Linked DNA regions of Bombyx mori. The protein of the gene in region 1 interacts with the protein of each later gene in a biochemical or structural test. Links are inferred from orthologs where the notes say so. Each region holds a gene or a part of one and is shown on either strand. Other genes may lie near its edges. The genes, in order: polycomb protein Pcl and histone-lysine N-methyltransferase E(z).

What was found.
Region 2: the proteins of polycomb protein Pcl (region 1) and histone-lysine N-methyltransferase E(z) form a complex in vitro, tested with the Drosophila melanogaster proteins (2 studies listed by BioGRID). The link is inferred for Bombyx mori from reciprocal best matches to the Drosophila melanogaster genes Pcl and E(z).

What each region holds. Positions count from the first base shown.
Region 1 is NC_085121.1:6,822,457-6,826,293, reverse strand, and holds part of polycomb protein Pcl, read left to right. Parts: intron 1-139; coding exon 140-335; intron 336-764; coding exon 765-932; intron 933-1,653; coding exon 1,654-1,757; intron 1,758-2,443; coding exon 2,444-3,338; intron 3,339-3,837. UniProt on the Drosophila melanogaster protein: Polycomb group (PcG) protein.
Region 2 is NC_085117.1:20,080,613-20,084,287, forward strand, and holds the end of histone-lysine N-methyltransferase E(z), read right to left. Parts: intron 1,687-3,675; coding exon 1,521-1,686; intron 1,083-1,520; coding exon 1,022-1,082; 3' UTR 599-1,021; downstream 1-598. UniProt on the Drosophila melanogaster protein: Polycomb group (PcG) protein. Catalytic subunit of the Esc/E(z) complex, which methylates 'Lys-9' and 'Lys-27' of histone H3, leading to transcriptional repression of the affected target gene.

The DNA.
Region 1 (3,837 bases):
TGGTACCCGCCTGAGATTCGAACACCGGTGCATCGCTAGATACGAATGCACCCGACGTCTTATCCTATTTAGGCCATGACGACAAATTTAATATAATGTGATAGTAGTATAAGTAGTGAAATGTTATAGTGGCTTCCAGGTTGTATATATTCGCTTGTGCTAGCTGTAACGGTGGTTCGGAGTATCTACGGCGGCTCGAGTTATGCTGGCTGGACCTGGCGCATCTTGCGCTATACAACCTCACCGCCTACAACGCGCCCAACTACTTTGATCTCGATAATGTAATCATGCCGTACATTATGGACAACTGGCACGCCCTGCAGTTACCCGAGAAAGTAAGTTTAAAATTTAATTTTTACCACCGGGCCGTAATGCAAATTGACGCCCTGGATTCATTCGTAGTGCATTTTTAGATCTTTTTTGATATTTTCTATCCAGCTATAAAATAAACTTCACACCATGGTATTTCCATCAGGTATGCCATATGGTCAAATGTTTACATGCGTTATTAAAAAAATTATCATTAAACCACACACAATTCTGTAGAGCAGTCCGTACTTCAATTCAAGCATGTTGTATGAAGGGTAGAAAAGCCATACCTCCAATTATTCCAATATAATGAGACTTTCTTATGTGTGATGTTCATGTGCTCAGCTAACAGGCTAAGTATGCTGTACGTAACTTTAAAAAATTCCTTTACATTTTAAATGCAAAGATGTATTAGCGAAATTGTTTACTTTTTGAACGTTTACGTTGTGAAACAGATGTGGCGAACTCCCGTAAATGAACGACGGGAGAAAATTCTAACAGCACTCACTTCGTCTCGAAAAAGATTCAAATGTGGTCGAGAGATGAAAAAACGAGCTACAATCTGGGGTCTCCGTCTCCGTCGACCTCCACCACCTCCGATGCAACTTTCAGCTTTAGAACAGGTAATTAATTATGTATGCAAGTAAATAAAAATGGTATCTGTCTGCGATATTGACACAAGTATTTTTAAAGCTCTACAACGGATTGATGGTTCTATGCCTATAACCTTCTCACAAACTTACAAAGTCTGATTGCAATTGGCTATACAGTGGCAGAGCTCAAAATACTGCTATGTGCTGAGGCTTAGGATAACATATGGAGATGTTTTCGCCAAAAGTCATCCTTTTTTACTTTCCTTTGCTCGAATTCAGTGTCAATAAAAATACGAACTACATGCGTACGTACAACTTAGACCGATCAATCTGAACCAAGCTTCAGTGGTGATGTGGCACAGACGGTGCACGTGCATACCCAAAGTATACTACTACTACTAGGTCTATAAAAACCTAGGTCGGGGAGCGCGGCCTTCCGTCACTCGATTGATCTTTTGCAGTGCGACAACGTGTCGGCATCTCGGGCTCTTTGCCCCCGCCGCGGTGAATGCGGATCGGTGCGGAAACAGAAGAGCTCTCACGCTCCGCTCCTACGTCATAGTGCACTCACAAAAAACGACCATCGCCTGCCTGAAACTTGAATACAACATCAACTATAGCCATTACTCATTAACGCTTAATGGTAACCCTAATGTTGGTCGCCGCCGCGACCTTATAATATTTATTGTGAGCATGGACTTGCTGTTCCATACTTTTTTCCGTTCAACCGTATTGTTTTCTTTAATCCTAGATAAAGAAGGGAGAACCATTGACGGACGACTTGGTGCAACAACACGCTCCCAGACTCCGGTTTCTACCTCGTGCTCCTACACCGAAATCTGTTGTTGATGATAGGTATTATATACTTTATTTCTTTCATTTCCTGAATTATGTGGTCTACCATAAGATATTCACGTTCATATAAGTCACCTTCTATATTAAAGTAGTACTACATTTTTCTTTCTATATCGACGGCTGAAAGACTATTTGGCTTAAGCGACATTTTTACAATTATTCAGCGAGAACTATTTAAAGTTTGGAAAAAATATCATGACAAAAAAACTTCTCCAGATACTTGGATGGAGTAAACTTAGTTGAAGTTCAATTAAAAACATAGAATTGTTGGTGCTAATACCAAATAAAACGCACTTTTAATTACAAAGGTAAATGTCGCTTAAGCCAAATAGCCTTTCACCCCTTGATATGATTCATTTTTGTTGTTAAATAATAATACAGAAGGGTAAGTAAATATTTTTTTTAGTTTCTATTCGTGATGGTAATTCTTCTACTATATTGTAAATCATTGCCACCCCTGAAAGACATCAGTAATACAAAGAACACAGCAAAGCCACCAACTTACTTGGAAAACGACAATAATGCAATTTTTTTTTTCTGATTTATAGAATACATACAAGCAGACCAGCATAGTAATTTGTTATTAATAGAATTGTTATTTTAGAACTGTCATTCACCAATTACCACTAATTTAATAACAATGAGTGATGTCCAACAGTTTAAATATTTTACTTTCTTTTTTTCAGTTCTCAGCCCTCTAGCAGCAATCCTGTAAAATGTTCCTATAAAAGTAACCATCAACGAATGATTGTTCCCGTTGATGGCCACTGGTTAAATTTAATGATGGGCAAACGGTTCCATGAGAACCTTAACTCAAACTCAAATTCAGAAAACGATTCTGCCAGTTCCTACGAGTCCATCAAGCTTATTGAGGCTGATGAACAAAACTCACCGTCCGTGTCTACAACTAATAGAAAATCTGAAGCCAAAGTTGATAATGTAGAAAATATAAAAGAAACCCGATCCAATGATAAACTAAGCTATGAAGAAGACCCTCCGATATCAGTGCCATCAGTAGTTCCGTGTTCAGTAAAGTTAGATAAAATATCCAAAGAGAATGTTGATCAGACTAGTATCTCTAAAAGTGAAGAAACTCATTTAAATTACAATGCCCATACAACAAGAATAGCTACAATGAATTTGGAAGTATCCAAGCTGTCCACAAAAAACATAATTGAACATTCCAAAATAATGTCACTGCAACATATGGAAACTGTACCATCATACACTAGCTTTAACCATGACCTAGAATCGTCTGGAGATGAAACTTCAAGTAGAGGAACTTTGGATGCTATTATACCGCCCCTGAAGAATTTTCAGGGAAGAAATAATCCTTTTTTGATGCAAAATACATCATCAAAAAAACCATTTTCGTCAATGACGAATATTTACCTTAAACCAAATAAAAAAGTGAACAATTTTCACTCAAGGTTTTCTTTGCCAGTACTGTTCAATCCCACAATGGGACCATTAATAAGACCTACGAAAAGAAAACTTAGTGAAAAGGATATTGTTATTGGACCAAATGGAGAGGTGAAGCGAAGAAAATATCGACGACCAAGAAAGTATTTACAAATGCAGGTGAGTGTTATATTTTTAATGCATATTCTTATTTTTCTAACCTGTTTAAAGTAATGTAATTATTATATCATTAACAAATATACTTTAAATCTGATAACTTTTGGAACTAATAATATAAATAGATTAAAAGAATAAACTAGGCCATGTAAGTAATCAAAGAACATATTTTTTGTACAATGAAGGCCAAGAATATCTGTCCCACGAAAGTAGTCCATTTCGTTTAAGTGTAGGCCAAATCTGCCAATAACTGTAATTCTTTCCTTTATCATTGTATAAATAATAAGAATCAAAGTCCTCATTAGGATTCTAAGCTTATTGCTTATTATTATTATTTTTGATTGTGGTTTCAAAATACTTTTATCATATAATTTTCCTAGTATTCTTTGCCAGATTATTCTTCATTTCCATTGACATTTCCTTCCTTTCTTCTAAGCCACAATGAACAAGGGTCAGCTAACTTTGATCCAGTAAGAGAAAGTTGATTGTTGGATTCATCTTG
Region 2 (3,675 bases), on another chromosome or scaffold:
AGTATAATTACGGCAAAAAATGAAAAATACAAAAATGATATATATGTTAAAAGCCTCTGTATAAAATTCAATTATAAATTCACAAACTATCATAATGAAAAATGAGCTACACAGCCACCAGCCGTATTCTGCTTCCCTTTTGTCCGCCTAATTGCTGGATGCCTCGAGAGGCTATTCCAGCTTCACCGGTTTGGTGGGTGAGTTTACAGAACTTGCTAACACTAGCCTTAGCAAGATTAATGCTTTGCTGAATCTACCACCCGATCCCAATCGTGACCCACTGGGAAGATCTGCTGAGAAACTTTGTAGACTGTCTGTCAAGTTGTACGTTAAGCCCTTCGTCGCATTCCACGAGAATGGTGACAGCAGCTTAGGGTGCTAAAAATCGCCAAGAATGTTGTATACAGTGAGCTCAAAGTGGGGCTGTAAATTCGCACAAGCTATTTTATTTTTTATTTATTTCATTTACTTTAGATTTTGCATCCATACTATTCCATATTACATTCATTAGCATTTAATATAGTATACCAAAATTAAATAAAAAATTATTTAATTATATATTTATAAATATGTATTTGGTTTAATAAATAAAAAACAATTTGGTTTTATTACATATTTATTAAAGAAGAAGAGAGAAACGGGTTTTACCACATCTCATGCAATAAAATTATTTCATTATTAATTAGCCAGGTATTTAATTTAAACATGACGTGTCTAATGCTCTTCCCAATTCATCTATAATGTGTGCCGACTGAGAAGACATACCTTACTTTACATTTACAAAAAAAACAAAAGACATGCGAAGAATTCAAACCTGTGACCTCTCACAGGCAGGTGTACAAGAAACCGTGAGTTTTAATATTAATGTTACATTATGAGATGCCACATGTCACTTGTCATGTTCACTTATCTTCAGATGTCAAATTTCACATAGATAACATTCTAATGAAACTGTGAGTAGAGTTCACACTGACTTTCTCAGTGTCCTGCAGTCTTGGAGCGACTGCTATTTGGACTGTTCTCATAAGAACTCCATCTCTCTCTCGATTCCTACGAATTTCAATTGCTCAGTAGGTCCATATCTGAAAATAAAAATCCATTAGTTCAAATTACAATACAATAATCGAATGAATTTGTAAATAGCCCTAGCAAGGTAGTCAGCGGGGTGTGCTGCAGCTGTTTTGTTTTATTTTTCTCTGAAATAAATCATGTCTTCAGATTGGAGGGACAGTCAACCTGTCATGAATCAATATTTAGACCTTATGTCCTGAAGTGGATGGTGGCAACATATGCTGATCAGTATTTATCATTGAAGATCGGGCGCGCCACGGGTCAACACATAGCCTTCTTTGATGACGACATCACACCAAGAGTAGCGCAGGCACTCGTGCAAGAGCCTCAAGAAGTTGTAGGCGGTGCTCAGTTTGTGACATCACTGGTTACAAATATTGTACTAAGCTGACTATGAAGATCATCTCATGTATTTAGCGAATCATTAATAAAGTCCACCGTATTCTCACCTATAATCAAAGAACAGTTCTTCTCCAGGCTGGATCGCCCGTTTAGCGAAGATACCAATGCGATGGTCACCATTCACCATCATGACCTTCGCGTAACAGTTCGGGTTGATCGAGTGGTTCGCGAAACGAATCTTGTTACCTTTACGTGTCGCATCCACGACAAAATCTGAAATTTTATAATAAAACTAGCTGACCCGGCAAACGTTGTGTTGCCTTAAATAAGATTTCTAGGGAAATAATATATAAAATTCTCAAAAACCTCATTCAACCACATAATATAGTAAGCGGCACGGAAGTTGGCAAGGTTTTGGTGTAGTGGGGGTAATGTCGCGCATAGTGTACATTGCAACAAAAAAATGGTCACTTTTATTGCCCGCATATATGTTAATTTTATTTTATTAAATTTTTTATTTGTCATAATTTATTTTTAAGCCTGTGTGTTTAGAAGAAAGTTAAAGAAAAGAGAGGAATTCGTGAAGTGTATTAGGTGTTATAAATAAAATACAATTAAAAGTTAAAAAGTTTATTTAACAAAATATACTCAATATTAAAAATTATGTGTCGCCGTCGTCACTATCATTTTCTAATAGTGCTACCCCTTGGATTAAATTTATGGTAGGACCTGAGCTGGTGGAAGGAGTTAGCTCCTCATCGTCGACATAACGAAGAATCGCTGTCGTCACTGGCGTAAATAATAAAACGCTCAGTGACTGAATCGACTATAATTATGGTCATTGGTATAATTTGGTCCTGGCATTGCAAACAAATTTAAAACAATAACACTCGTAACAAAAACTCAATATAAACAAAGGGCTCCTACAACTTTAGTAGGCACATGTGTAAGCGGGAGCGAACGGAACGTGAACGCGGTGCGGGAGGGGAGAGTCGACTGACTCACTAATCGCGCGCTCGGAACGGTGCTACGTCTTTCCCCGCGTCCCGCTTGACAACCAAAGAGACCTAAAAAACGACTTCTGCGCATCTAACGACTCTTGCCAAGTTACGTGCCGGGGACTATACCTCATTATAACAAAAAAATATATAAAAAAAATTTTTTTGGGGTGAACAACCCTTATCACTTAGGGGTATGAAATATAGATAGTAGCCGATTTTCAGACCTACTGAACATACTATTGATACACAAATAAAACCAAAGGAACATGGCTGAAAAATATATAGTGAGTAAGACAGGAGACCGGCTTCGTCCTCATCCCTACTACGTGATGTTTGCTGGATGAGTGGTGACACCTGGCGGGGATAACTGATCGATTGATAGTTGATCAGTATGTAGTCGACCGGCGAGGGCAGGAGATCAAATTGAATTAAAAAAAAATCATAATTAAAGGAACTTGAAATTATAAACTCTGAATAAGAATTTATCATGCTACAATTATAATATTTGATTGCCATCTTGCAACCTTATTGCGGATCTGTGCATAGAATAAAAAAAATAAAAATCGTATGGAAAAATAGGGGTTGATCGCATAAGAGTGAAAATTGAGAGTAATAATTTTTTTTTTTTATTTTAAGTCATGACAAAATAAAAAATAAAATCTTGCCAAAAAATTTAAAATTTATAATTAACAAATAAAAAATAGGGGTTGATCGTAGAGGGGTGAAAATTTCAGAGTAATATGAAATTTTTTATTCTAAGTCATGACAAAATAAAAACAAAATTCTTGCAAAAAATTTTTGTTTTTAATTAGCAAATAAAAAATAAGGGTTGATCGTAGAAGGGTGAAAATTAAGGATTGTATGTATTTTTGTATGTTGTATCATAAAAAAATAGAAATTAAAAATTTTGTCTAAAAAATAAATAAAAAAATGTTAGGGGTGACTACCCCTAACATTTAGGGGGATGAAAAATAGATGTTGGCCGATTCTCATAGATACCGGATAAGCACAAAAAATTTCATCAAAATCGGTCAAGCCGTTTCGGAGGAGTATGGCAACGAAAACTGTGACACGAGAATTTTATATATTAGATACATGAAAAATTTAGAACCAATTTTCGTGATCATTTATTCCTAATTTATTTCCCCTACTAAGTGAAGAGTGTTTCGTGAGACCTGCCTGGTCTCACCGGGCTGCAGGCGCGCTCACGGGGTCGAGAGGATTACTAGCATCTGTGTTAGTAAGAGCAGTGTTTCGCTGA